3 linked regions of the Lepisosteus oculatus genome follow. The protein of the gene in region 3 purifies or fractionates together with the protein of the main gene of each other region. This does not show direct contact. Links are inferred from orthologs where the notes say so. Each region holds a gene or a part of one and is shown on either strand. Other genes may lie near its edges. The genes, in order: prkacba, A-kinase anchor protein 8-like and cAMP-dependent protein kinase type II-alpha regulatory subunit.

Region 1 (10,145 bases), on a different chromosome or scaffold from region 3:
TCCTGACTCTCTGTGGTCATTAAAAATCCCAGGGCGTTTCTCGAAAAGAGTAGGGGGTGTAACCCCGGCGTCCTGGCCAAATTTCCCATTGGCCCTTACCAATCATGGCCTCCTAATAATCCGCCTCTATGAATTGGCTACATTACTCTGCTCTCCTCCCCACTGATAGCTGGTGTGTGGTGAGTGTTCTGGTGCACTATGGCTGCCGTCGAATCATCCAGGTGGATGCTGCACATTGGTGGTGGTGGAGGGGAGTCCCCATTACCTGTAAAGCGCTTTGAGTGGAATGTCCAGAAAAGCGCTATATAAGTGTAAGCAATTATTATTATTATTATTATTATTATTATTATTATTATTATTATTATTATTATTATTTGTGTTGTAAAATTTTAACATGACCTGACTGAAATTGAACACTTGTAGCTGTGTTTCATGGTACTTATTGCTTCCCCACATTGTCTAGATGATGAACATTTTGTTTTCACATAGATGTCTAAGCCTTTTTGATAAGCACCTTCTTAAAGCTATTTCCCATCTTAGGCAATGTGAAAATCAATACATATCACATTACATCTACATTATCTTCTGTGTTCTACCAAATAATAATGTTTTTTATATAGTATTTCCTCAACGTGCTTTGCAGGTAAAGCATAAACAAAGACAGGAATTTAAAAAATAGCACGGAGAAACAGAATGGTTTAAGATGCAGCAAAATATGCAAAGGGACAGACAGACCTCAGTTCAATAAAATGTTTATTCAGTCTCAAATTCTGTATTTGCACCTTCTATAGTAGTTGCTGACACTCATTTTTGAGAACAGTGAATGTGATAATTGTTTAAAATCTGTAATTATTTTGTTATCTGGATTCTGGTGTAAATGAGGGGTGGGAAATGCACTTTGAGCATTTACCTATTATCTACAATGTGTTTCATTCATTAGTTTTCAGTCCAAATGCTTGCCTTTCATTGATGTGCACTACTGTCAGTTTGAGAGCGGATCTTTTATAAGGAACAGGGCAGCTGTATGGAGTAGTAGGGTGCTGGACACATATTTGCAAGGTGCTGCGACTATACCCTTGAGCAAGGTATTTCACTGCTCCTGATTGCAACAGTAAAATGTGTAAATATGTGTAAAATGTAAGTTGCTTCTCTCCCCTGTCTGTCTCATGGAGAGCAAGCTGGGGTATGCAAAAATACAAATTCCTAATGCAAGAAATTGTATATGGCCAATAAAGTGATCTTCTGGTAAAAGGTCAGCCAGATAAGTTATCAAAAGCCTTCCAATCTAAATGTATTCTGGCATTTGTCACTAAGGTAGCGCTGCTGTTAGGAAACTGAACATGCTCGGTTCAGTCACAAATAGAACAAGAGTGATTTTGTTTCTGAAGTGTATTGTCCCAGGGAGGAAACACATTTCAGCATTTTCCAGTTGATCTTCAACTCTGCTATTTTGAAACACAAAGATGGGTGTTTATTGTTTCCTTTATGAAACCAAACTTTGGAAAATGGGAGGGATACCCATGCTATAGAAAGAGAGACCATCCTTAACTCCAGATCTGTGAGCTCTCTCTGCACCTTCTTCTGATATGTGAGCAGACACCCATACCGACTGGAGTAACAGGTGGGTTGTCAGCCCACCCCTTTCACCAGGAGCAGCGTGTATGCTCCTTATAAGTTATTTTCTATAGTATAAAAGCTGTCATTGTGATTTAGTGTCATATCCTGTGTTCATGGATAGATTTATAAATACAATAAACAGTAACAGTTCACTACTCAGCTTTTTTTCTTTTTTGTCAAATTTGTTTTAACTGATATTGAAATGTGAGAAAGATAAAAAGCAAGATGTAGAAATGGTAAAGTTAAAAATCACATAACCAGTCCTTGTGTCTTAGAATCTCACCAGTGCAGAATATAGGTTGGGGGAAAATGATAAAAGTAAAAGTGATATTTATTTTACTTAGCCATTCAGTTCTTTATTTTTTGCGGCACCTGCTTAATGTGCTCCTCTAATGAGATTGCTGTATTTTTTCTGCTTCCAAGCCAAATTCGGAATCTTCTTATGTTCTTGTTACATGGGTGTTTGTTTTAATTTCTTCTGTATTAATCAAAACTTTAATACCCCAAAACACCAATAGAGACTGCTGTTATGTAGGAAGCCTCCATTATAACATATTGCATATTGTTGCATATTGTAATAATCCTTACACTTATTAGTGCTTTTCTGGACACTCCACTTAAAGCGCTTTACAGGTCATGAGGACTCTTCTGTACCACCACCAATGTGCAGCCCCACCTGGATGATGCAGTGGCAGCCATAGTGCACCAGTCCGTTCCCCACACATCATGCCATGTATTTTTTTAAAAAACTGTTAATTTGTTATTGTTTTATTAATCTCTGGACTGTCAGGCCCAACTTATCTGATTGTGCATCTTTGTTGAATTTTGGCACGCTGTTCTGGAAGTTAATTAAATAGTTGTCTCACAATTAAAGAAGAGATTAGTTTGCTTGAAATTGTATGTTGAACAGTGTTTTTGAGAACTTGAGAAATTCAGTTAATTTCAGGGAGTTGTTACAGAACTGTCAAATTTCAAACCAAAAATCTTCATATTTCTTACATGTTGTACATCACTTTTAAAACCATTTTTGCAATTCTTTGTTCTTCTTGAGCAACATGAAAGCATAAAGCTTTACTGTTTGCTAGGGATAAAGTGAAATTAGAGATCAGAGATTTTTGGCTGCAAGGGTTGATTATTCAAATTCTATTTTTAATCTTTTTAGTCCTTGTCATATGAAGCCACTAGATGGCACTAGAGTACGTGTAATTGTAAGGAGACTGTGCTGTTGTATTTCTTAGCTAAGTTACGCTGTCATAGGAGAAGTTCAGTAATGTTTGGTTTTCCCATTACACAACCCTCAAAGCCTTGAGTCAGACCTCAAAGATGCCATAAAAATAAGTCCATTATTTCTTGAGGAAACATTAAATTAATTCCCTTTTAGCTGTCTCTTCACAGGATTGCATGTGTGTTCTGTGACTTCAGTAGATGTGTATTTTTGTGTCTCTACTTTTGTTTAATGAAAGCATAAATCTGTTATATGAATAAGACATGATGTACCACCTTAAAAAGACTGAATATAGGAGAATCATTATTCTCATATGTAATTTTAAGATCTTTATTTTTAGGGATAAAAGTACAACAACCGAAGGCAATATTTGTGAATTCTAATGCACAAACTAACTCCTGTACTGTTGTCCTTCCCATCATTACTGTTGATAAGTTTGAAAAACTGTTAGTGCGTCCTTTCTGTCATTTTTGAGGGGCTCTGCTGTTAATGTTATACAGTAATGGATATGAGTAATGTATAGAATAATACTGGCTGAAGGTTTTCTTTTATAAAATAGACTTTGGAGGCAAAGTACTTGCAATACCCACCATTTTCTGTATAGTTGTGCCATAAATGACTTTGATTAAGTCCACTTCCACAGTAGAAATTGGCCATGAGTTTCATTTAGTTAAGCACAATAAATGTGAGTTTTGGACAGGAAAGGCCACGAGTCTACAGCTCACGACTGAGTTTTGTGTATTGCTGCCGTTTGGTCCGAAAGTTATTTTTCTTGAGCCTGTGTTTTGTTTGGGTGAGTGGGGGGGAGGGGTCATACAAGTCACCAAGAAAGTTCAGGTCAGTACTAAGAAACAAGCAGATTCTCTTAGGTGAAATGGTGATTCCCACATGTGCTTGGTCATTTGAAGATGTAGTTCAAGCAGGTAGCTGCGTCAGCATGTGTAGGCTGCAAAGGAACATATTCATCTGAATATGTACCATGTTAATCTGCGGAGTGTACTGCAGTGTGCTACAACTTTCTTAATGTAGGGCATCTTGCAGGAGGGTAGGGCTGTAGAAGCACTGTAAAACTACAGAAAGGAAGGAGTTTACATCAAATCCTCATTGAAAAGCAGTAGATGTACAGTATTAGACTTAAATATCAGAGATCTAATAACATTTTCCAGATCAGATGTTTTTAATTAGTTTTTAAAGAGCTATTTTTTTCCTCAGTATTTTAAAGATTATTGGCTTTGTTTTGTAATGCAAGAAAACATTCGCTGAAGGGAGTTTCTGATGAAAACCACACAAGGAGGAAGTGTGGATTATTAAGATTAGACTGACTGCTTACTGTGTGCTGCTTGCAGCCCATTTTCAGCAGACATCGTAAGATAGACCTTTCAGACTTGAGATTGCCGAGGTTATTGATGACGGCACAGAGATTTGGTTTTAAAGTGTACAAGTCATGCAAGACCTGCCTTTGACTGATGAGAATATTTCATGTTATATACTTGAAGGTTCATGGTATAAATATTCAAGCAATCCTTAGAAAATCTCTCCCACTCCCCACTAATTGAACAAGTTAATCTTGTTTTGTAGCTCTTGACTTCTCTGAAGTTCAAGTTGTTGGATTAAGAGATACAGTAAGTGTTTTGTTTTATACAAGCTAGATGAATAATTATTTTTTTCACTTCACTTTCATTATCAAGAAGAACAATGAGATTTCTCCCTGTGTCAGTCCCTGGTATGGAAGCATAGCATGCTGTTTATGTTATTAAGCAGGCCTGCATCTGATATTGAGTAAAACATCGTTGCACAATCTTGTCATTGCACAATCACAATGTCAGCATGCAAAGTGTGTCTTGTGGACAGGATCAAGTGGGTGACTTTGTAAATGCATAGCAAAAAAAAAACAGGAAAGCAGCAAATAGTACTAAAACAATATTCCTGTTGTACCTAATAAACAGTATGTAAAATATGCCTTAGTATTTGGCTAGCTATATTGGAATCAAAAGTCAGTAACTGACAGGGTATCTGTAAAATGTGTGTAGTCTATTGTATAATAGCGGAGTGCTTTTCAGTGTTCTGAATGGCATTAGTATCTGCCTGCATCTAAAATGTAGACATTTTAATACTGTCAAGACATTTTGATTTTTCTGCTGGGACAGATTTTGATAGCCATTTTAAACGGCAGCTTTGTTTTGGTGCCTCCTACACACTTCCTATTTTGTTGTCTTCTTTTCGTGGTTCCAATTTACTGCGTGCTTCCAAGCCATAGTACCTTACAAAAACCTGAGGAATGTGTCATGAAAATTCCAGTTCTGTAGCTGAAAACCAGTTGCATTCTTGTACTTTTCACAGGATGGCATAGTCACAGTGGAATAACATACTGGAGAGCGGTATGGAAAAAAAAACTTGTATATGAAAGTGGACTATTTTTGGAATGTTAATAGCAACAAATCAGATTATAACACTGAACAAATACAGGAGACTTCACTTGCGTATCAAGTGAACGTTACATACTGCCATATTTATTACTTGTCTAGAACCTTTTTGAAAAGAAATTAAGCATATTATCTCTGACAGGAAGCAAAACCAATTCAGCATGCGGTAAGCCAAGTAGCAGCACAGTGCTTGCAAACAGGAAGCTTGTATCGCGCTCCTGTGAGTCAGAACAGAAACTTTGAGTTACCTTTGCACTGCAGTTGCTCAGTGTTGCTAAACACTGTCAGAGCTGTGGAATGGCTTTAGCGAAGGAGCTGCAGTGCAACCAGTGCACAGGCACCAGTTCAGGTCGTCACAAACTGGAAGATTTGGCCAGCCGTATTTTTCACCGACACCGCAAGGGGACCCAGGAGCAGAAGGCTTCAGAAAACGAGGGGCCGCATGTCTCGGAGTTCACCATATGTTGGGACAGATGGAGTAAGTGCCAGAATCTCAGAATTGATCAGACAAGTTGCAGCTCGCATGTAGCAAATAATTCTGAACTTCTTTTGTCGGCAGACTGTTCCATTGGAATAGACTTCTGTAAAATTGAGCTAAAAATATTTGATCTCTGAAACGTGTTGAAAAGAAATGTCTGGTCCTTTTATTTTTTTTTCTTGAAGTGGTATCATGAATTCTGTTAGAAGTTATTTTGAGTAAAGATGTTCCCAAGAAGTATACATTAAGACAGAGTGTTACTAATCTTGCTTTTCAGGACAGTAGGTTTTTCATTTGATCTATTTAATCTACTTAAAGAAGACAGCCGTCTTTTAACTTATTTGTATGTGTAATTTGTACAAACTCACCAACTGTTTCTTGTGATTCCGCTGTTAGAAACGGTTAAGTTTGTGATAGAATAACTTAAGGCGTTTGCAGATCAGTTTGCCAGAAAGATTAGAAGTCCTTTTATCGCTTTTTTAGAATAATCATTCCTACGTTAATGTAAAGACATGTCCTGCCAAAGCTCTTTGCTAATGTTAGTTGTGTCATTTTAATGTAAAGGAGAAATAACACCTTTTTACACCCCAAAGCTAGTTTTTTTTTCGATTTATAAATGTGGAAGTATGCGTCTTATCAGTATTTCAGACTTACGTGCAGCACTATCCTTGATAGTGTTGACTGTGTTAAGCTGCTGTTGCACTGCAATTTCCCTCATGGGATCAATAAAGTATCTATCTGTACTGACGGATCACTACAGTTCTGTCAAAAAGTATTTGCCCGCTTTCAGATTTTCAGAATTTTTGCACCATTTGACTATTATGTGAGCCTTTAAGGGTCCTAGTGATGTATAAAGCAAACCTGAGTGAACAGATAACTCCAAAATAGGGTGCTTGTTTAATTTATTCTGTAAACAGTCATCCACCATCCAATGTCCCCATGTGAAAATGGTTATGCCTCCCTAGTTCAGTCAAGTCAATGAAAGGGTTAGCTAGGGCTAGCTGTGTGAATACCTTATTATATACCTTATTTGGGCCAGCCCTGTTCTATTTAAAACTCACAAACCTTGGCTTTTATCATTACAGTGAAGTTCTTTTGATGCTTGTCAGTCTGGAAAAGGTTACAAAACCATTTCAAAAGCTATGGGACTCCACTGATCCACAGTTGAAAAGGAGACGATTTGGGACACTATTCCCAAGCGCAGCATAAAATCATCAAGGAAGTCGCCAAAAATCTCCAGAACAACATCCAAGCATCTGCAGGCCTCTCTCACTTTGACTAAAGTCGATGTTCCTGACTCTACCATCAGAAAAGCATTGGGTAAAAATGGAATTTCACTGAAGAGCAGCAAGGTGAAAACCATTGCTCATTAAGAAGAACATTGATGCTTGTCCACTAAAGCACCTGGATGACCACCCAGGCTTCTGGAGGAATGTTCAATGGATAGATTAGTCAAAAGAAGATCCTTTTAGGCAACATGGGTGCCTTTATATCTGGTAAAAAGTCAAAACTGCGTTCCACAGTAAGAACCTTATACCAGTTGTCAAGCATGGTGGTAGTTGTGTCATGGTTTAGGGATGTTTCGCTACCTCAGGACCTGGATGATACATGTTCTTTGTATTGGAGCATATCAGACTATCTTGCCAGTTGAGGAGCAGTTGGGTCATGCAACAAGACAATGATACCAAATATACAAACAAGTCTATAAGAGGATGGATGAAGAAGAACAAATTCAGTGTTTTAGAATGACCAAGACAAAGTCCAGACATAAACACCATTGAAATGTTGTGTCGAACAAGCAGTTTATGCTAGAAAACCCTCATATTACTGAGTTCAAGGAGGAATGGGCCAGAACTCCTGCACAGCGATGTGAGAGACCGATAAGCAATTACAAAAAGGGTTTGGTCACAGTTATTGCAGCTAAAGATGATGCAACCAGTTACTGAAGCTAACTTTTTCACACAGGGACTTAGGATGTTAGATTACTGTTAACGAAATAAGTGAAGCAGCAAATTGTGGTGTTATTTGTTCACTTAAATTCCCGTTTATAAATCACGTGATGCTCTGATAATATTCACAGCTACTACTGAAAATATTCAACAATTCTGAAAAACTGAAATTTTTTTTTTACAGAATTGTAACTATGACTATACCAATTGATTGGTTGCGAAGGAAATGCCACTTCTTGAAAAATAAAAAAATGCTGTTTTGGTTGCATTCTACACTTAACCTATGGCTTACAATTAATTTTAGTGTGAAACTAAATCAGAGAAAATAGTGTTCACTTCTGCTCGTTATATACTGCAAGTTGAATAAATGATACCTGGATCAAAAAACAAATATCATGCAACAGGACACCAAAACAGAACATATTGGGAATAATCGGCTCAATGATAATAAATGCTTGTTTTTCTATATGGCTTTTAACCTCTATAAGACCCTGAAGTACATTACATATAAGAAGGGATTCACTTCATCCTCCGATGAAGTACAACACCTTCCAGAGTGACATTTGGCAGTCATTATGTGCCAGCAGCCCTACTGGAGGTTAGTAAACAGTCAAAAAATATTTAACCAGTTGATTTAAGGGAGAAACCTCAAATTGGAGTTCACCCTAGGGTCCTAGCTAAATACTCTTACGAACTGGCAGAGGATTTTTAATTATAAAGTAGTCGCTACAGACGCAGTAGTGTTATGGCTCTATAAGGTGTCACAAGTATTTAAGAGGAAGACTTGCATGATGCCTGATTTTCTGCTACAAGAATACTATTTTCCTAAAACGTTTATGTATATAATGTTATTAAAAGGCATGTGCTAATAGCACAGTAATACGTGTGGAACTGGACATTACATTGTAGTGTTGTTAATACATAACTGAATTGCACCATTTTGTATATATAAGAACAGCTTTATTTTCTGTTGTATGCAAAATGGTGGAAGGTGACAGGTCTTTTGCTCTGACAAACTTCACAGTCTTACAGCTTCAGCAAAACAAATCAACGCAGTTTTGATCATGATGAAGTGATACTGTAAACTGATGGATCATTGCATCATCAGATTTTCTTAGAGATGGATTTTTGCTGATTTGTTAAAACTAGTAAACTAAAACAAATAGTTATATGGTATAGAGAATCAGTAATTGAATTAGATGATAAACTAGAATATAAAATAGAATATGTTAGTAATGCTTAAAATAGCTAAAACAAATTAAAATTCCACATGCAAACAGTTTTTCCTGGTCTTTTACATGCTTTGATCCTAATCATTGCCATGTAAAGGAGCAATAGTTTTAATCATATTTATTAAAAATATGTATTTTCTAGGATAGGAGTCTTCTATTAAGGAAGCATTTCCCAATATGGCATGGAGGAAAAGGTCGATTTTTCAGTTGCATGACTATTAACAGAATGTAAAAATACCAAAAGTGTAGGTGTAATGATTGCTGTACATGCCAGAAACAAATGACTAAAAAATAATGCCAAGTATTTTGAATAATCTTATACTTCTACAGCAGAGCCAGAATGTGGTACATTTGGAGTTTCATATTCTCTAATAATTAATGTGTGAAAGTGCCACTTTTATCATGTTTTTTTTCCAGTGTATTCACTTGTATCTTGTAAAGTGGTTTAGAAATGTTGCAACGGTTTCAGTGGTATTGCTAAAGCATTGCATTGTGCCAGCCTTTTAACCTAACTCTGATAAACAAGGTTTTAGGAGTCCATACTAAAAGAGTGTAATTTAGACAAGGGCTATATGAGATGAAAAGAAATGGAATCAAAATATTCCAGTTTGGTGAAAGTGTCCACAACAGATAAATATGGCAGGAAGTTGTGGATAATTACTGTACAATTTTAATTCAACATATCCTTCAAAAGAACAACAATGATTGTTGTTTGTGTTAGTCTATACAGATTTTGTCCCCATATGAATAGTCTAAAAAGTGACATCACAGAAAATGTGGCCTTACTGTATAAACGCAAGCAACATAAAAATGGGAGGCAAGTGTTCCGTGGTTATATATCGGTTTGTAGACTTGCAGGTCCAGTTTGTAATTTAGCTAGTGTGTATTTTCACATGCAAAAAATCATGACGCATTCTCCTTAGCACATTATAGTTTTACCATGCATTTAATATGAAATGATTGGCAAGCTAGAAGTAACTAACTGTCTTGCAACAGATTCATTTGTTAAAGCTGGCCAATGTCCTTTCATACAACAACCCCTTTAATTTTAGTTTTTTTTAGAATCATTTTATAATTGTCTCAATCAACAGTGTAATCATATGACCAAATGACTTCAGGTTGCTGATTAAAAAAAACAGTTTCCACTGTCTCTTCTGTGACGTCTGGTAACATTAGTGAGGTGCTCATACTAAGCATCACTGTGCTGAATTTGGACAAAGC
Region 2 (10,332 bases), on a different chromosome or scaffold from region 3:
CCGGGACATCAGGTCGAGCCGCTGGTTGATCTTGGCGATGAGGGAGTCGGGGTTCTCTTTCTTGCGCTTGGGCGTCTTGGGCGTGGACCCCTCGGAGACGCCATGGCTCCCGTCCCCCTCTCCGGTGCTCACGGAGCCCGGGACGGACTCGGCCTGGGGAGCCTCCCAGGAGCCGCCGTAGCCGTAGGAGTCCGTGGGCTGGGGGGGGCCAGCAGCTCCTGCAGACTGCGCGTTGAAGTAGTCGTAGCCCTCGTAACCTGGGATACACACACACAGCCGGACCTTAACCCTGCACTGCGGGCACTGGAGCTGCAGCTTATAGCCACTGCAGCGGACAGAGCAACAGCACCCTAACGTTACCACTAACAGGCTCCCAGGGCACAGCAGTTCCAGTGCTCGATTTACACTGGTCTCGCCCATGACTCCCAGCACACAGCAGTCCGATCCAGTGCTGGTTTAACACTGGTCTCGCCCATGACTCCCAGCACACAGCAGTCCGATCCAGTGCTGGTTTAACACTGGTCTCGCCCATGACTCCCAGCATACAGCAGTCCGATCCAGTGCTGGTTTAACACTGGTCTCTCCCATGACTCCCAGCACACAGCAGTCCGATCCAGTGCTGGTTTAACACTGGTCTCGCCCATGACTCCCAGCACACAGCAGTCCGATCCAGTGCTGGTTTAACACTGGTCTCGCCCATGACTCCCAGCACACAGCAGTCCGATCGAGTGCTGGTTTAACACTGGTCTCGCCCATGACTCCCAGCACACAGCAGTCCGATCCAGTGCTGGTTTAACACTGGTCTCGCCCATGACTCCCAGCACACAGCAGTCCGATCCAGTGCTGGTTTAACACTGGTCTCGCCCATGACTCCCAGCACACAGCAGTCCGATCGAGTGCTGGTTTAACACTGGTCTCGCCCATGACTCCCAGCACACAGCAGTCCGATCCAGTGCTGGTTTAACACTGGTCTCACTCATGACTCCCAGCACACAGCAGTCCGATCCAGTGCTGGTTCAACACTGGTCTCGCCCATGACTCCCAGCACACAGCAGTCCGATCCAGTGCTGGTTTAACACTGTTCTGTCCCACTAGTCCCTGAGCGCAGCAGTCCGGATTTTTCCCAACTGCAGGGCCCTTGGACAGACGAGCATGTGTACTTGAGCTCCAAAGCTTGGAGTGTGGTGCACAACGGAGGAACAGCGCCCCGCAGAGAGGGCAGCTCTCCCGGGAAAAGGGTCGATCACGCTGCAACACCCTAATTCCGGCTCAGAACCCAGCAGCGCTTCCACCTCTCCGAGAGCGATACACTGCGCTCCAGCTCGGAGAAGGGCCAAACCAGTCCCGTCCAGGCTAAACTGGGCCAGCCCGTGACAACGTCGGACCACGGGGAGCACGACGCCGACGACCACGGCGGCACAAAGACGTGAGTGAGTGAAGGCCTCGCTCTCGCTCTGCAGGACTGGATCAGACTGCTGAGCACTCAGAATCCCACTGGCAATGTTAATAAAGCCTGGACTGGATCAGACTGCTGTGCACTGAGAATCTTGCTAGCAACACTACAGACCTGGAGTGGATCAGAAGGAAGTCCCCTTTGAGACCGATTCATTTTCCCGTTTCCACATCCATCTCACATCTTGTTTATAGATGAGAATCAGACTCCTGCCGCAAAGCCGTTTGATCCATTTCAGGTTTTACCCACCAACCCGAACGGAGACTCGGCCCGGCCCGGCAGGACCGGACACGCCGGCGTCGTGAAACCTTACCTGAGGCACCGACCTCGGCACTGCTCACGCTGGCAGCCGTACTCCAGGAGCCATAGCCTGCAACAGAGCACAGCACACAGGACTGTGAGGCCTGTCCCCCTGCGCAAAGCGCACACGAGCAGGCCGGCACAGACGCACACAGACGCACACAGACGCACACAGACGCACACAGACGCACACAGACGCACACAGACCCCGGCTCGGCGCAGGCACAGGGGTGCGTCTGCGTGTTGGATCAGTAACACTTCTTGAATCCATCCCTTTTCGAACACCTCAGCAGCACCAGCCTGTTTCCTCCACTCTTGGCCCCTGCAGCTCAACCCTCTCCGAGGCCCCACCACAGGAAAGGGTGTCTCCTTCTCCGATTCTGCCGGTTTTAGGGGGTCACCATTATATCACGCCCTTTCCGAAGGTTTGGGACAGCCTCAGTGTGACCTTCATTGTGGTTCCTCATCGGACAGGCCCACCTCTCCATCCCTGTTCAGACCACTTCTTCCAATTCGGGCCTATCCCAGCAAGCAATGGGTGCAAGGCAGGGAGAAACCTTGGAAGGGACGCCTGTCCATCACTGGACACGCACTCACACCAGGACCAATCTTCCCACCAGCAATCGCTCTGGACTGTGGGAGGACGCCCACGTGAATGGCGGGTGGGAACATGCAAACTCCACACAAATAGCACCCCAGGAACTGAACCCAGGTCCCCAGGACTGAGAGGCAGCAGTGCGGACTGCTGCCCTACCCTGCCATCCTAAATGAATTTGTGACTCGCTTACTTCATCAAAGCTGGAGTTTGCGCTCCTGGGAAATGGGGTACGGAGCTGCAGACACCCCTACTTGAGACAGACAGGGAGACTGTCGGACATTTCCATACACCCTCCCTGCGGGTGACACAGATTACGCTGCGAGCACCCGACCTGTCAGAGCCCCTGTTGTCTTGGGGTCTCGGACCAGGCTGCCCTCTCGCCTCCATTTTCCAAAATTAAGCAAAGCCATCCCCCCCACCCCCCCCCGCACGGACTCCCGTCAGCACAAAGACACGTACAGGCCGCCGCCAACCCGGCCGGCTGTAACGCCCCGCACGGGTCCGGGCTGGACCGGAAAACCGGGGTTCGAGGGAGCAGTTATTTCGCCCACAAGCCGTCGCGACTAGGGCTCCGGCCTCTCGCACGACGTGACAGGAGGAGAAGAGGTAGCGAGGCGGCCATTTTGAGTCGAGCTGCGAATCCAGCGACCGTCCGGCAGCTCGCCAGCGGCACCCCTCCGCAACAACAACAACACTGACAGCCTCCGTGCTGCTGGCGAGCACGGCGCGGTGCAAACGCTGCGAAGGAACGGAGTTGAAGAAAGCAAAAATAATAATTGTATTCAGAAGCCGCCGCCGCCGCCGCCCCCCCAACAGCAACACGCCTCCTTTCGAGTCCGTACCGTCAGCGCGTTGCTTTCACACATCAGGACACGAGAAACCCCAAAATCAACGCGATTCAATGCGTGCAGTGTATCATTGTGCAAGTTAGCACGCTCGGCAGGTCAGTCGTGACCAATTCTGGCTCCGTGATTGACTCTGCAGAGCCGCGACTCCGATCTCGAACCGGCTGTCAACGTCCGGACAACTAAAAGCCTGAATAATCGACGCTGCAACGTTAACCGCCCGGAACCCCGCTGTATTTCTGCCAGGGTGCCTACACCTCACCAGTCTGCACTGCGCAGGGCTGTTAACCGGGCTGAAAGCGTCTCGGGTCCAATACCATAAAAATGTTCCGACATTACAGAACTGCGTGGTTCCAGACTAGCACAGAGAGCACAGGTATGGGGCACGGGGAATACGGGGGGCTCACGCAGACAGAACAACGATTTCGGGGACGGTTAGCGTTTTCTTTTTGTTGAAACCAGCAAAAGATACAAAAATAAGTGCGTAGCTAGCAAAGCGAACAACGTCCATAGATGCAAATGCACTGCGTTTAAAACCAGCTTCTGCGACATGGATTTTGATCAAGGGAGCCGCACCGCAGTGTTTAAGTGTTAGGCACGGAACCCCTTACATTATTATGAAAAATGTAGAAATATAAACAACTTAAAGGTTCATTTCTTCCTGACTGACCTCCGTAATCGTTGCCATCCATTCTCCCCGTCTTCTCATTGGAACCAACTCGAAGAGCCTGGGAAGGGGCGAACCCGCTACGGAAAAACCCTGCCCAGGGGACAATCTCATTGGGCGACTGCTTGACCTGAGCATCACCCATTGGTTTGTAGAGGCATCAGTCATCCACGACATCAGCAGCTGGATTGCAGCGATTGGGTGGAAGCTAACGTCAACGAAGCGTTGCCTTAAGGAAGGAGCATATGAGTTGTCCTATTGGCCAATACTAGTGTCAATCACAATTCACTTGCATTGTCATTGGTTAGAATTCCTGTTAGTCACCATGTGCCCGTTAGTCAAGAGCGGGAGAGGGGGGATTCATCTCTGATTGGTGGAGCTGGTCGTATTCATTGTCGAATCAACGCGCCACTGCCTGTAACGCGCCTTTCCTATTGGATGCTGTTTTTCCAGTCACCAAGTAGGAGGAGGTTTGGGGTTCATCAAGCAAAAAGACGTCTAATGAATTAATTTACACAGAACGGGATTGTAAAAAAAAATGTGACGGGTGTAATAACAGGTCAGGATGAAGTAGTACTTGTCAGTACTATTTCAGTGAGTTTTATACGCCCCTACTTAAAATAATCCACATCAGAACATACGGATCACTTTTCCACCCAATAAAGTGCGTTATTTGAATGCAGTCTTAAAACTGAAACCTGAGCTCCCTGCCTGGAGCCAGTCCAGCACCAGACCTGCCCGCGCCTGATTGCGCTGAATGTACAATATCAACAGGAAAATTCACTGCGGAACTAAAACCTGGACTCCTGTACTCGCACAGTGCGATCGCCCGAACAGCACCGAGCCGAGCGTGGCGACAGACGAGTCTCTTACACACGGCCTGGGGTGTTGGGGCAGCTCCCGCCGTCCTGCTCGGCCCCTCAGTTTGGTGAACTGGAGACCCTAATCCCCCACGCCGTCCTGACCCCAGAATCCCCCAGGGAAGAGGCGGTACCGTCTGGGCTCCAGGACTAGGGTCGACTTCCAGAAGCGGTAGGGTAAGCGGGGGCGACGGATTGTACAAATTCAGGACCGAGTCAGTTATTTCCCTTCCAGCAATTCTTTGCGTTTTGCTCTCTCGAAAACCCTCCTTTTCTGAACATTCAAGGGGACACTCGTGTTAATTACCGCTATATAATGGTACGTGATGTATACATAATAGAGCGGTACAGTGGCCAGGACTGTTGCCTCACAGTGCGGGGGTCCTGGGCCCAGTTCCTGGGATGCTGTCTGTGTGGAGTTTGTATGTTCTCCCTGTTTTCGTGTGGGTTTCCTCCCACAGTCAAAGGAAATGCTGCTGGGTTCTGGGAAAGTTGGCCCAGGTGTGAGTGTCTCTGTGTGCCCTGTGATGGACTGGCGTCCCATCTAGGGTGTATCCTGTTTTGCACCAGTTGCTTGCTGGGATAGGCTCTGTCTCCCCCAAACATTCGAAGATGTTTTTAACAATATATCGCAATTATAAGTATATATGTATGAGGTCTACATGCCAGTCACTGAGCATGCCATTCTTGTCTACCTCTTTGAAAACACAGGTAAATTTGTCTTTAGTTCTGCAGTGAATTTGCACTTTTGTGCATTTTTGTTTCACATTGAGGATAGGGATAGTAGATTTTTTTGTGTATGGAAAATGAATGAATGGAAAATACCAGACATTTCAAAATATTTGGAAGTTCCTCCGGGATGGAGTTGTAAAGACCAAAAAGGTGGATGTGTCTGGGAAGGTATGGATGGATTTTTGTGGTCGGAATCGGAAGCAGTGATGACTGTTGTACTGCGCAAGGTTATAATAATAATAATAATAATAATAATAACAACAACAACAACTCCTTAGGTTTCTATAGCACTTTTCTGGACACTCCACTCAAAGCTCTTTACAGGTAATGGGGTTCCCCTCCACCACCACCAGTGTGCAGCCCCACCTGGATGATGCACCAATACTCTCACCACACACCAGCTCTCAGTGGGGAGGAGAACAGAGTGATGAAACCAGTTCAGAGATGGGGGTTATTGGGAGGCCAGTGGGGGCCACTGACCCCAGCAGCCATATCACCCTGCAACTCACAACTGGCAGCCCACTGAAGCTAAGCAGGTGTGAGCCTGGTCAGTACCTGGATGGGAGACCTCCTGGGAAAAACTAAGGCTTCTGCTGGAAGAGGTGTTAGTGGGGCCAGCAGGGGGCGCTCACCCTGTGGTCCATGTGGGTCCTAATGCCCCAGTATAGTGATGGGGACACTATACTGTAAACAGGCGCTGTCCTTCGGATGAGATGTAAAACTGAGGTCCTGACTCTCTGTGGTCATTAAAAATCCCAGGGTGTTTCTCGAAAAGAGTAGGGGTGTAACCCCGGTGTCCTGGCCAAATTTCCCCATTGGCCCTTACCAATCATGGCCTCCTAATAATCCCCCTCTATGAATTGGCTTCATTACTCTGCTCTCCTCCCCACTGATAGCTGGTGTGTGGTGCGTGTACTGGAGCACTATGGCTGCCGTCGCATCATCCAGGATGCTGCACATTGGATGCTGGACATTGGTGGTGGTGGTGGAGGGGAGTCCCCATTACCTGTAAAGCGCTTTGAGAGAAGTGTCCAGAAAAAGCGCTATATAAGTGTAAGCAATTATTATTAATTAATTAATTAATTAATATAATTTGGCCAGGACTGAATTAACACCCCTACTCTTTTTGAGAAACGCCCTGGGATTTTGAATGACCACAGAAACTCCCATTTTTTTACATCTCATCCATAGGACGGCGTCTTTTTACTGTCCCCATCACTATACTGGGGCATTAGGACCCACACAGACCGCCGGGTGAGCGCCCCCTGCTGGCCCCACTAACACCTCTTCCAGCAGCAGCCTTAGCTATCCCAGGAGTCTCCCACCCAGGTACTGGCCGGACTCACACCTGCTGAGCTCCAACTGCCAGTCGTGAGTTGCAGGGTGATATGGCTGCTGTGTTGAGGTTTGTATGGCGTGGGGGAAAGCTGGTCAGGTCGCTGGGCACAGAGGCTGCACAAAGCCCACACCTCCCTCAGGCTCTTAGGTGCTGGGCCTGCAGCTGCAGCCCTTGTGGGCTTAAACCTTATATTTTAACGTCATTTCTCACAAACAGCGCAGAGAAAGTGTCACCTGTGCAGAGACGTGATCTGGCGAGGCTATTACAACAATTCAACTCTTTCTTCACCGCCAGGCAGCTGACGCATTTTAACAAGTGTGTCCACTTTCCAGACGTGTCGGCAGGTGGTCCGAACATTCACAGGAGACGTTTGGAAATGACAGCCCGGAGAAGTCGTTTTACAGAGTTTTTCACGTATTTCTGACCTGTTTAATAAACAGATGAACACGTGTTCGTATCCTTGCTGGAAGGTGTCCGATTCTGTGGAGCGGACCGCGGATGGAAACACTCCGGGATCTCAGGGGCCTCAGACTCTGTCACTGTGGGGCCACAGTGTCTCTGATTCCTCACTGGTGGTCACACACTGGGTCTAATGGATTCATTGATTCAGGTTACTGATTTCCTCTCATTTTGTTTTTTTCTTATCCCAAACTGCTTTGACAAGCCACTTTTACAGGTGCTATTATTATTATTATTATTATTATTAATATTATTATTATTATTATTATTATTGCTAATAATAAATCAAAGAGCCTTTGCCGCGCTCCGAGGAAGCGCCGGGTTTGCCACACTCAAGATGGCGGCCCGCTGCGGTCATGCCTGCCCCTCCGCCGCCACCCCGGCGGGCCTGCGGGGAGCATTATGGAGTCGCGCCGCTCGTATCCGGGAAGAGCCGAGGACAGCCGAACGCGCCCAGTGACAGCTAAATAGCAGCGACACGGAGACACACACACGCACAGAAAACGCACGCATAACACACGCAAAAAAAAAAAAAGATTACAGCATGCAACACGGCGTTGTTTAAAGGGCCAAGGAGTTAACTCCTTGAAACGCAACCAGGCCATTTTTCCCGTAAGTACTGAACTAGCAGTCCTGCGCAGAACCGGGCGGTTTTGTCTTTTTTTTTTCCCTCCAGGCGTTGTTTATACCAGACTAGAGCCCCGATTACAGCCTTGGCTTTGGCTTAGCTCGCTGGACGAGTCGAGAAAGAGCGACTTTAATTTTTCCTGGATATTTTACTAAGTAATGCCAGACCCTGGCTTGCATGGCAGTCCTTGGGGGCTCCCGCAATGTCTGTATATATATATAAAAAACAAAACAAAAGCGGAGACTTGTTTCCCAGCGGACTGTGCAGAAACACTCACACACACCTTCGAATTTAGGACAGTCTGACCTGCGCTCGCCCGCCGGGAAGGCGCCTCTCTCCGGGATCGGAGCGAGGCCCGCCGGAGGAGCGGCCCCTAGTCCTCACCAATCGCATGTTGCTGTCGCTGGAGGTGTTCCTGCTGTGTCTGCGCTTGTCGATTTTGGCGGCGATGTTTGTCTCGCCGGACAGGGTGCGATGGCGGTGGTGTTGCCACAGAGGGGCGACAGTCGTGATGTTGTATCAGACAGGGGGCGATAGTGGTGGTGATGTAGTTGTATCAGACAGGGGGCGATAGTGCTGACGTTGTCGTTGTTGTTGGATTACACTGGGGGCGATAGTGGTGACGTTGTTGTTGTTGTTGTTGTTGTTGTTGGATCAGACGGGGGGGGTGATGTTGTTGTTGTTGTTGGATTGGACAGGGGGCAACGGCAACGGTGGTGACATCTTTGTTATTGGATCGGACACGGGGCGATGGTGGTGACGTTGTTGGATCGGACTGGGGATGACGGAGGTAATGTTGTTGGCGTTGGACCGGACGGGGGGCGATAGTGGTAACGTTGTTTTATCACATGGGGGGCGATCGTGGTGATGTTGTCGTTGGATCAGATGGGGCGACAGTGGTGACATTGTCGTTGTTGTTGGATCAGACGGGGGGGCGACGGTGGTGATGTTGTCGTTGTTGGATCGGACGGGGGGTGATGGTGGTGACGTTGTTGTTATTGGATCGGACGGGGGGTGACGGTGGTGACGTTGTCGTTGTTGGATCGGACGGGGGCGACGGTGGTGACGTTGTCGTTATTTATGGATTGGACGGGGGGTGACGGTGGTGACGTTGTCGTTGTTGGATCGGACGGGGGTGACGGTGGTGACGTTGTCGTTGTTGGATCGGACGGGGGCGACGGTGGTGACGTTGTCGTTATTTATGGATTGGACGGGGGGTGACGGTGGTGACGTCGTTGTTGGATCGGACGGGGGCGACGGTGGTGACGTTGTCGTTATTTATGGATTGGACGGGGGGTGACGGTGGTGACGTTGTCGTTGTTGGATCGGACGGGGGTGACGGTGGTGACGTTGTCGTTATTTATGGATTGGACGGGGGGTGACGGTGGTGACGTTGTCGTTGTTGGATCGGACGGGGGTGACGGTGGTGACGTTGTCGTTGTTGGATCGGACGGGGGCGACGGTGGTGACGTTGTCGTTATTTATGGATTGGACGGGGGGTGACGGTGGTGACGTTGTCGTTGTTGGATCGGACGGGGGCGACGGTGGTGACGTTGTCGTTATTTATGGATTGGACGGGGGGTGACGGTGGTGACGTTGTCGTTGGATCGGACGGGGGGTGACGGTGGTGATGTTGTCGTTGTTAGATCTGACGGGGGGTGACGGTGGTGACGTTGTCGTTGGATCGGACGGGGGGTGACGGTGGTGATGTTGTCGTTGTTAGATCTGACGGGGGGTGACGGTGGTGACGTTGTCGTTGTTAGATCTGACGGGGGGCGACGGTGGTGACGTTATCGTTATTTATGGATCGGACTGTGGTGACGTTGTCGTTGGATCGGACGGGGGGCGACGATGGTGACGTTATCGTTATTTATGGATCGGACGGGGGGCGAGAGTGGTGACGTTATCGTTGGATCGGACGGGGGCGACGGTGTTGACTTTGTCGTTGGTGGATCGGATGGGGGGTGACAGTGATGACGTTATCGTTTCTTATGGATCGGATAGGGGGCGACGGTGGTGATGTTTTAATTGTTGTTGGATCGGACGGGGGTGACGGTGTTGAAGTCATTGTTGTTGGATCGGACGGGGGTGACGGTGGTGACGTTGTCATTGGATTGGACAGGGGGCGACGGTGGTGACGTTATCGCTATTTATGGATCGGACGGGGTCGACGGTGGTGACTTTGTGGTTGTTTATGGATCGGACTGGGGGTGAGGGTGGTGACGTTGTCATTGTTGGATCGGACGGGAAGCGACGGTGGTGGCGTTGTTTTTGGATCGGATGGGGGGCGATAGTGGTGATGTTGTTGTTGGATCAGATGGATAGGACAGGGGCAATAGAGGTAACATCATTGTTGTTGGACCGGATGGGGGGGTGATAGTGGTGATGTTGCTGTTGTATAAGACAGGGGGTGATAGCGGTGACACTGTTGTTCTGTCAGACCGGGGGGGC
Region 3 (10,273 bases):
CGAGAGAGAGAGAGAAACCCTTTTCAATTAAAAGCAACAGCACTTGATGCTAAGCCTCTTCACACCTGCATAGCAACCATACACTGCTCTCTCCTGAGCGGTAGAATTACTGTCCCTCCCTCTGTCTCTGCCCCTCAGGGGTAAAATACATCTTCACTCTCGCTCCCTCCGCCCCACGGGGGGTAGAAGACCCCTCCTCTCTCCCTCCGTCTCCGCCCCACGGGGGGTAGAAGACCCCTCCTCTCTCTGTCCCCCGGGGGGTAGAAGACCCCTCCTCTCTCTGCCCCCCGGGGGGTAGAAGACCCCTCCTCTCTCCCTCTGTCTCCGCCCCACGGGGGGGGGGGGGGGGGAGAAGACCCCCCCACTCTCCGCCCCACGGGGGGGGAGAAGACCCCCCCCACTCTCCGCCCCACGGGGGGGTAGAAGACCCCTCCTCTCTCCGCCCCACGGGGGGGTAGAAGACCCCTCCTCTCTCCGCCCCACGGGGGGGGGGGGTAGAAGACCCCTCCCACTCTCTGCCCCACGGGGGGGGGGGGGGGGGGGGTAGAAGACCCCTCCCACTCTCCGCCCCACGGGGGGGGTAGAAGACCCCTCCCACTCTCCGCCCCACGGGGGGGGGTAGAAGACCCCTCCCACTCTCCGCCCCACGGGGGGGGTAGAAGACCCCCCCACTCTCCGCCCCACGGGGGGGGTAGAAGACCCCCCCACTCTCCGCCCCACGGGGGGGGAGAAGACCCCCCCCACTCTCCGCCCCACGGGGGGGTAGAAGACCCCTCCTCTCTCCGCCCCACGGGGGGGTAGAAGACCCCTCCCACTCTCCGCCCCACGGGGGGGGGGGGTAGAAGACCCCTCCCACTCTCCGCCCCACGGGGGGGGGTAGAAGACCCCTCCCACTCTCCGCCCCACGGGGGGGGTAGAAGACCCCTCCCACTCTCCGCCCCACGGGGGGGGTAGAAGACCCCTCCACTCTCGCTCTCTCCACCCCATGGGGGGGTAGAAGACCCCTCCCTCTCTCCGCCCCACGGGGGGGTAGAAGACCCCTCCCTCTCTCCGCCCAGAGAAGAGCAGCCTCTTCTGAGGAAGAGGAGAAACAGCAGCTGGGGACCCTGATCTTTTTCAGTCTCCCGTGACGCACCGTCCACCTGTCTGCCGTTCAGCGGGAACAGAGCGGATGTCACTGCTTCCACACAGGAGGCAGAGTGAGGAAGACGGAGAGTAACACACCTGTGTCAGAACAGCCTCTTCCTCTTTCTTAGCAAAGCAGGGGAGTGCCGCGTTTTACTTCTCCTGCCGCCTCGCGGGGTTTCCAGTGTGACTGGGAGCGGAGAGCTGTGCTGTGCTGGCCTGGCTGACCGCAGTATTACCAAGGCGCAACAGTGACCAGCACAGCACCTCACCCACTGTTACACAGCGCACAATGAAAACAGAGCGATAAACCAGACGTCGCAAAATCAATTTCGCCTGATGGCTGGCCACAAAGAGAGACTAAGACATCGACGACCCACTGCGCAGAAACAAATTAAGAAAAAACAGTCACGTGATGGAGAGTAACTTCAAGAGAAATCTGCAGGAAGCCGACTTCTGTCTGTCCCCTTCCCTCTCTCCTGCCCAAATCGCTCCCCTTCCACCTCGAGCGCCACCTCTCTGCTTTTCACCATCTCACTCAAGACTCAAGCCTCTCTCTCTGGGACTGTAGCTAAAAATAAACCTAAAATAAGATCCCAAACACAAAAAAGTGGATAAAACCAAGAACTGTATATCACCAGTGCCAAGCAGCAAGTGTACTGGTATATACAGCACAGTAAACGTATACACACGACACATGACCAAGACCAACGCGCCAGGATACAGATGCCTCCCCGTCTCTCTCAGCCCGGTCTCCGAAGTGCAGTGGGCCCTGTCTGGTCACTGTCCCTCAGGCCGCTGCACAGCTCCGGATTCTGCAGCCAACACCCCACCGGTTGTCCCCCAACCATTCGCTTCAATTCAGCTCGGTGGCACCCAGTGCTAATTTTGGTTTTGCAACTTGTCTCACTCGTGTCGACAAAGTTCAAAAACATCTTGAGAGCTCATTTTGCAGCACCTCTCTCTCTCTCACGCGCGCGCGCGCACGCACACACACACAGCTCATAGGGATCTTGCTCAGCTGAAGAAAAAAAAACTCCCAAGGCCCTTCGGCAAACATTTGTTCTTCCAACACAACACAAGGAAACTCTGCTGACAGACTGCTGGTGCCGAGCTCTCCCAGGCTTTCAGCCCCCACTCTAGAGCTGCCCTCCAGTCACACAGAAGCCATCGCTCGATCACACCAGCAGCCCAGACGAGGAGCTTGGCAGACTGACGGATTCTCACACAGGCTCATTTTCACACCCCTCACACACTGACCACTGAGACCAGGGCTGAAGGGACAGGCCTGTTTAAAGAGCAGAGTGACAGTGGCCCAGCTCCTCCATGACTTCAGACCTTGGTCACCGGACCCACACAGACCCTCTCCGCCAGTAAGAGAAACCCAGCCGGGCTCAGAGGAGCATCACCATCATCACACCTGCGCAGGAGTGGGAGACTCTCTCTCAGCACACAGGTGCGCCGCTGTCAGTGACCGGTGCCGAGACTGGGCCAGCCCACTGACACGGCTCATCATCAGCAGCGGGGGGGCGGGCGTGCTCGGAGCTCGTCTCGCACCCGCGTGGACCGCTCTCACGGTTTCAACGCGCGGGGGGGAGATGTCAGGTACTGGGTCCACGCCAGTGTGAGGGGGGTGGGGCACGACCTGTTGAGCTGGGACTGCGCGGAATGAGGAGAGACCCGTGCACCTCAGCTCGACTTCGCTCTGTGGAGGGGCGACACACGACTCACCCCCCCCTGACCTGACGCGCACCTATGGAGGCTCGTTAACCCCCTCGATACCCAAGGAACCCAAACAAGCCCATCCGCTCGCCGACTCAATCCACGCCCAGGCACGCCGGCCACGATCCCGCAGGACGCGGCGCTACTCACGCTCGAAGTCGGAGTCGTCGTCGTCGTCTTCCTCGCCCTCGTCCCCGTTGGACTCGGTCTGCATGGGCTCGCCGTCGAACAGCACGGCCTTGGCGGGGGCCCTGCCGGCCCGGCCGTCCCGCAGGCGGGTGAAGTACTGCACCGCGAACTCCACCAGGTCCGGCGGCCTCTGCCGCAGCACCTCCACGGTGTAGCCCTGCAGCAGCTCCGTCAGGCCGGCCGGGATCTCGATGCTCATGGCGCTGCCTGTGGTTTATTTTCGTTCCCCTGTGAACTCACCCCTCAGAGGAGGGTGTGCGAGTGTGTATGTGGGGGTCTGGAGGAGGGGTCGGGTCAGCTTTTGTTTGATTTAAAAAAAAACAAAGCGTTTTAAAATAGCGCAGGAATGAAGGGGGGGGGGCGGGGTCGGGAAAAAATATTTTTTTTTTCTGTTGTTGTTGAAACTGAAGTGCATGCAATACGAGAGAGGGGAGAAAAAAAATAACACAACACGGTGCCCCCTGACTGGGAAATAATACCTAACGTAACACGAGCACGCGTACGGCAAGCCGATTACACGATGCACACACGAGTGGGAATACTCTGTCGTGGGGAGCAGCTGCACACAGACACGCGGGGACGTGTTTTCTGACAGCTCCAAATCGCACAGATCCTCCTGAAGCGGCGGCGGCGGCTCAGACCCGCTGGTTTATTCGGGGAGGAGGAGGAGGAGGAACACGCAGACGAGCAGCCCGGGCCGCTCCGTGCGGAACCGGCGGTGTTTACGAACCCCGGCGCGGCTGGCTCGTGGCCGGGTCGGGTTAAGGCCCCGCTCGAGCCCTTCCCCCCCCGTGCGCTCGAGGCGAGGAAAAGTTTTTTTTTTAAATGAAAAAAAAAACAAACGTTCGGCTCGCGCGCGCGTAAACCGCCCCGGCTGGAGGGCAGGTTTTTTTTTTTTTTGGGGGGTATGGGGGACCCCGCCGACTTCACCGCTCCGGGCTTGTCGTGAGGCTGTGGGCTTTATTTATCTCTCGATCTATCCGCCCGCGTCTCCGGTCCGGCGGCGGCGACCAGCCCCTTCGGGCGAGGCTGCGAGGTAACTCCCCGGCTCGACAGCCTCCTCTGCGGGTCTCCCCGTCTACCTCCCCTTCCTCCGGGGCGCCCCCTCGCTGCCTGGCCCGTGACGAGCGCCCGGGCCGCCGGGGACCATGAAGGGCCGAGACCGGGGAGGAGCAGGCCGGCCGGGGCTGCGAGCGCCGTCCACCCCGCTCCGCCTGGACCGGCCCGCCCGCCTCTGCGCTCCGCACCGCCAACAGAGGGAGAAAGGGGGACGCGGGAGCTCCCGAAGAGCGGGTGGCTTTCTCTTTTTTTAAAAAAAAAACAAAATACAGCAAAGTCACAAGGAGGAGAGGAAAAAAAAAAAGGCGTCAGTCCAAAAGTCAAGATAAACCCTTGGCTGCGGCTCGGGCTGTCTGTCCCTCTGAGCGTCCCTCTGCTGCTGCTGCCGCCGCCGACCAAAACCCGACTTTTGTCCCCCCTCCTCCTCCCGGGACAGGAGTCCCCGGCGTGCCCGGCTTCTTCTTGAGTCAGTTACTCGAACACGAATTATCCGCTTGTTGATATTTACAGTCGTCTCCCGCTCTCTCCGCGTCTCCCTCGCTGTGCCGCTGCCGGCGAGACCCTCGCTCTCCTCGGCCGGAGCTGCAGAAGCGGCAGTGAGGAGGAGGAGGGGCCCGGGCGAAGCCGCTGAGCGACGTGCCTACCCGCCAATCAGGAGCCGGCCCGGCCAAGCCGACGCCAAGAATTTTCCCTTATTTGGGCATGGAGTAGGCGTTATCGCCCCGCGCGCGCGGGAGGGGAGGGAATGGGGCCCCGGTGGCGGAATCGGAAGGGACCAATGAGCGGAGGCGGGGGGCGGGCGAGTGAGGGGGGCCTTGTGTAACAGAGGGCCAATCGGAAACGAGGTAAGGCGGCGGCGGCGGCGCAGCCAATGGGAAGGCCAGGCAGGGAGGAGACGTCACGAAAGGGGAAGCCGAGAACGCGGGAGGGGCTGGAGGTGTGTTTGACACCGCGCCTGGCAAAGCAGGGAGCACTCCGATTGATCAAGCGTGATCGATAAGCTGGATCCCGATTGCACCGCTTGGCCAGTAACTAACGGCATTTCCAAAGCTCGTTAGCATACGCCCGCCCGAAGGCTTTAGCACGGGGCAGGTCTGCGGCGTAAGGTACAGGGTGCATCATTCGCGCACGCCAGCGTTTCGTTTTCACTCTTCTTGGGTGCGCTGGGATCGATCATCGCCTCCTTTCCTTTAACCCCATTTCGTAACATTGCGTAAATCCCTCGTGACCCAGTCGGCTTTGTCTGAAATCCTGGTAATTAAAGCCGTTCTATTTTCGTATCTGATTAGGTGGGCCGGTACCAGACGGTGAACTCCGCGCAGCGGGTCACTGTTAATGCGGCTGACCGTGCACATCGGTGGGCTATCCCACGCTGCGCTAGAGGTCCCAGGTCCGGGGGTGCATCGTGTGCGCAGGGCTCCCTCTGGTGGCCACTCCTGGTGCTGCACCCTCGTGTTCAGACACGTTAACCTGCCCCTTGCTCTTTCACGGCTGCAGCGGCTCGCCTCGTACTGCGATCGGGTTAGAGGACTTTCTTTCTAAGATGCTGTTAGGCAAACCTACTGCCCTGCTTCCTGTAGTGCAAGCGCATTCATCGTCCAGTTAGCACCTTGGATAAAAAGTGGCAGCTACATAAAGGCAGAATAACACAAACACAACCAAATACACACAAGTGCTGGGGTCAGGCTCGTTTGATAACTGGGTTTAAACCAGAGTCAGAACTGTAGCTTAGAAGGGTCAATAAATGTTCCTCTCCACACACACTGGAGGGCATGTACATATACACATATATACAGGTGTACAGTATATATTCTATATACACACACTGGTATTCCCTGTATTTTAGCGCACTGCTTGCTTGACATTCAGGAAGGTTTTTAAGGCAAAGTGTTCTAAATCATTTTTTTTAGTCTCAGTTAAAGGCCATCGTTAAAAAAAAAAACAGGCAATTTCGAATGAAAAACGAGAACAATCAAAAAGATATTGCAGCCGAGGACTGCAAAGGTCTGGCTCTTGTCCCTCTCTCCACAGGTGCGTCTGTGTCCTGACCTCCAGCTGCCCCAAAGGGCAGAGCAGGGCGGCGCTCACAAGCTGGGAGCGATCCAGTTGAGAAACTTCATGGCCACCTCGAACCCCAGGAAACAGGCCTGAGAGAGCGAGGGAGCGAGGGAGAGAAAGGGGGAGATAGATTTATACCAGGAGAACACTCATTCAGCAGGTTTATACACATGAAACACTGTCCATATGCATTCAACAGAACTGGGAAAGTCCCTGGCCACCCAGAGAGGACAGGCTCAGTGACCACAGCCTGGACACAGGCAGACCTGGCTGTCCGGAGAGGACAGGCTCAGTGGCCACAGTCTGGACACAGACACTGGACACAGGCAGACCTGGCTGCCCAGAGAGGACAGGCTCAGTGGCCCCAGTCTGGCCAGAGAGACTCACAGCGTTGGCAGGGAAGGCACGCAGCATGACAGCAGTGAAGCCCTTGTACAGCGAGGCCACGCCCTCCTCGCGGAGCAGCTCTCTCAGGACGTCCCGGAAACCATGTGGGTACCGGCCCTCCGGCGCTGCGGACAGAGGGGCAGAGGGACCGGGTCAGTGCACACCCCTCCCTCCTCTCCCCCCCCAGTCAGAGTTCAGTGGACTGTTCTGTTCTCCACCCCCTCCTGACCCCTGAGCAGAGAGAGAGACCCCTTCTTGTTCTCCCCCACCCCTCCCTCCACCGGCCCACGACCCGTCTCACCGGTCTGGTACCGGGACTTCAGCACGTCCGGGGGGATGGCCACTGCCCAGTTGAAGATGCCCGCCATGCCCCCGGCAAACAGCACGCTGGGGACGCTGAGCTCGTTGGGACTGGAGAGAGAGGAGAGGAGGGGAGAGGGGGGGGGTCAGTGGGCCAGCTCTCCTCCCCGTTCTGTTCAGCCGGCCTGGTTTCGAGAGCCCGAACGCACCCCGATCCAAACGTACGATTATAGTAGCCCCAGATCGCCAGGTGGCGGCGGGCCCCCCAGGCACACGCCCCCTGACCGACCCGGTCAGGCCCGCGGGTCCCCGGCCACATCTGGGCCAGCGGTGACCAGAGAACTGCATGTTGGGGCTCTGGGCCCAGCGGTTGGATATCACACCCCCAGCCCCCAGCGGTGCCCGGGACACTTGTGTCGTCTCTGGGGGGGGGTCAATGAGCCCCCCCCCCGGTCAGGGGCACTGCTGACCAGCCCCCCGCGCGGCTGCAGAGAGACGGGCACGGGCGCTGACCTTTTGCCCTCGGGAGTCAGGATGTGCTTCAGCCACTCGTACGTCATGAAGTACATCCCGCTGGCCGGCACGTCTGAGAGAGGGAGACAGCGCCGGTATCAGGGTCTCAGTCTCGCGGTTCGGTTCGTTTGTCATACACACAGGCGCAATGAAATGCTTATTTGCACGTTCGCTCCTATACACAGACATCAAAGGAATCGCCCAAAAGATAAAGACAGAACAGCAGCAGCAACAACAAATTAAATGACGTATAACAAAAAAAAAACAAATACGTTCTCTCTCTCTCTCAGTGTCTCTCCCAGTGTCTCTCTCAGTGTGTCTCTCAGTGTCTCTCTCAGTGCTAGAGTCTCTCTCCCAGTGGGTCTCCCAATGGGTCTCCCAATGGGTCTCCCAATGGGTCAGTGGGTCTCCCAACGGGTCTCCCAGTGGGTCAGTGGGTCTCCCAATGGGTCTCCCAATGGGTCTCCCAATGGGTCAGTGGGTCTCCCAATGGGTCTCCCAATGGGTCAGTGGGTCTCCCAGTGGGTCTCCCAGTGGGTCTCCCAGTGGGTCTCCCAGGGCCCTCCCTCGTCAGTACCTCTCATGAGAGTGAGCACCGTGCCCTTGTAGACGCCCCTCAATCCGCTCTCTCTGTACAGCTGCTTCACGCAGTCCAGCGGCCCGGCGTACTTCACCTCCCCCGAGGCTGCCTGGATCTGCAGGGCCACAGAGTAAACCCGCTGTCACTCAACCACACAGCGCTCTCGGCTCAAACCCAGCCTCACACCCGTGGGGCACGGCCCTGACCTGCAGGAGGCACTTGATCCTCTCTCCAGGAGCCATGATGGCAGTGGTGAAGACTCCCGACAGCATTCCCGCTGCGAAGAGCTGGGGATACCTGAGAGAGAGGGCAGAGGATGGAGAGGAGACAGGAAGAGGCGGGGAGAAGGGGGGAAGAAGGCAGGAAGGGGCGGGGAGAAGGCAGGAAGGGGCGGGGAGAAGGAAAAGAGAGTTGGACAACATGGAAGAGGGAGTGAACCAGGAAAGAGAGGGAGGGATGGGGAATGAAAGAGTTAAGGGAGACAAGAGGACAAAGAAGTTCAGGCACATATTTGGGTTTACAGAGCGTCGCTCGCAAATACTCCTGGGGTGCACTACGCAAAGCTCTGTGGTGAATTTATGGGGGGAGCTTTGGGGTCTCACTCACGTCAGCACATCATCGGGGCTCCTCTGCTGCAATTTCTTGCCGAGGCCAAAGCCGAAAAAGCAGACGGCAAACATGGGGGTCACCCCCACGATTGGGGCAGCCATCCCCTTATACAGCCCCCGCACCCCCTGCGAGAGAGAAGGACAGAGGAACAGGGGAAGAGACAGATAATGATTAAACCTAACAAGGGGTGTCTAACGCCCCACATGCTCTCTTACCAGCCACACTTTCAACCCCCCTTTATCTCCTTCACCCTCCTGCCCCCCCCCCCAGGTAAGGGTCTCCAGCCCCCACACCTCTTTGACGAAGGTCTTCCTGAAGCAGTCAAACGTGCCTTTATACTGGGGTGTCTGGCCAGGGCTCGGCTTGGGCTGCGTCTGCAAACGCACCTGCAGGAGAGATGGAGACAGGACGGGGGGGGGGGGGGGTTAGACTGAGAGAGAGAGAGATCTGACCCCCCCCCTCAGCACCCCAGCTGCAGCGATTCCGCCTGCCGGGGAGACACGGCAGCGCTCAGGGCTGAAGGTGCATTTTTTAGAACATTTTACCACTTTTTTTTAAAGGCCCGGGCGGCGTGGCGGCGCAGTGGTCACAGCGCTGGGGCCCCGGGTTCCATTCCAGACCTGGGGTGCTGTCTGTGTGGAGTTTGCATGTTCTCCCCGCGTTTGTGTGGGTGTCCTCCCACAGATTAAAGACATGCTGGGGGGGTCAACTGGCTTCTGGGAAAACTGGCCCTTGTGTGAGTGTGTCTGTGTGAGTGTGAGTGTGTGTGTGTGTGTGAGTAAGTGTGAGTGTGAGTGTGAGTATGAGTATGAGTGTGTGTGCCCTGTGATGGACTGGCGTCTCGTCCAGGGTGTACCCTGCCTTGTGCCCGTTGCTTGCTGGGATAGACTCTGGCCCCCCTGCGACCCTGAATTGGTCAGAAAATGGACGGATAAGGCCTTTATTATTTCACCTTGTTTTGACCATACACATGCAGTCAAAAAAAGGTCAAACTCGAAATCTCTTGCACCCAGTTCTGGCTTGTATCGAAGAGCCCCGTAGGTAGTAAAACCCGGAGCGGATCGGTCCGCTATGCAACGGGAGCCGCACTGTCTGCTTGGCAAGCTGTTAGGGAGACCTGAGCTTGCAGATCACAGGCTCATCTCCAACCCCCTGGCGACGAGAGTGACGTGGGAAGTCGTTTCTTTATCCTATGGGTTAGATATGAAACTGGGGTAAAGGTCACAGCGTGCACTATCTGAGTGGGACCGCGACACCAACTATAATCATTTATAATACTGTCTCGTTCCAAACGACTGAGGGACGTGAAGGCGCGTTACAAATAATCACAATACCAACATCGCCGGCTACTGTGCGGGCATGCGGGGCATGCGACTCCCTAAATATTCCGGTCGCAGCGCTCAGCGAGTCCGAAGTCCACCCCTCCGAGGCTGAGGAGTTAGAAAAACACGTCCTGCGACCCCGACAGCTCCGGGGTTCACAGTATGCGCGTCCAGCGTGTCCCCAAAGATGCAGAAAGTGGGGCGATACGTGTCCAGTAAATAAGAGGAAACACCATTTCCCAACATAAAATACTAAGAAGTAAAAATCCACTCTAGATCACAATAAGCATTTAAGAACATTCAACTTAAGTGTCCCAGCGGTGTCAGAAACACATGCAGAACAAACACGAGGCGAGTCGCTCGGGTCCCCCGTGACCCCCCGTGAAGTTTACCTTGATCGTGTCCAGGG

What was found.
Region 1: the proteins of cAMP-dependent protein kinase type II-alpha regulatory subunit (region 3) and prkacba purify together in Homo sapiens (affinity purification with mass spectrometry; 6 studies listed by BioGRID and IntAct, counting the BioPlex papers as one, with this or other methods). This does not show direct contact. The link is inferred for Lepisosteus oculatus from reciprocal best matches to the Homo sapiens genes PRKAR2A and PRKACB.
Region 2: the proteins of cAMP-dependent protein kinase type II-alpha regulatory subunit (region 3) and A-kinase anchor protein 8-like purify together in Homo sapiens (affinity purification with western blotting; 3 studies listed by BioGRID and IntAct, with this or other methods). This does not show direct contact. The link is inferred for Lepisosteus oculatus from reciprocal best matches to the Homo sapiens genes PRKAR2A and AKAP8.

What each region holds. Positions count from the first base shown.
Region 1 is NC_090704.1:23,463,706-23,473,850, forward strand, and holds the start of prkacba (protein kinase, cAMP-dependent, catalytic, beta a), read left to right. Parts: upstream 1-5,488; 5' UTR 5,489-5,562; coding exon 5,563-5,743; intron 5,744-10,145. UniProt on the Homo sapiens protein: Mediates cAMP-dependent signaling triggered by receptor binding to GPCRs.
Region 2 is NC_090706.1:14,032,954-14,043,285, forward strand, and holds the start of A-kinase anchor protein 8-like, read right to left. Parts: upstream 4,024-10,332; 5' UTR 4,009-4,023; coding exon 3,867-4,008; intron 1,824-3,866; coding exon 1,767-1,823; intron 258-1,766; coding exon 1-257. UniProt on the Homo sapiens protein: Anchoring protein that mediates the subcellular compartmentation of cAMP-dependent protein kinase (PKA type II).
Region 3 is NC_090699.1:65,619,491-65,629,763, reverse strand, and holds the start of cAMP-dependent protein kinase type II-alpha regulatory subunit, read right to left. Parts: upstream 4,673-10,273; 5' UTR 3,236-4,672; coding exon 2,998-3,235; intron 1-2,997. Other genes in the region: slc25a20 (mitochondrial carnitine/acylcarnitine carrier protein), read right to left, coding at 6,180-6,242, 6,541-6,665, 6,842-6,951, 7,354-7,426, 7,931-8,048, 8,140-8,230, 8,540-8,667, 8,836-8,928 and 1 more. UniProt on the Homo sapiens protein: Regulatory subunit of the cAMP-dependent protein kinases involved in cAMP signaling in cells. Type II regulatory chains mediate membrane association by binding to anchoring proteins, including the MAP2 kinase.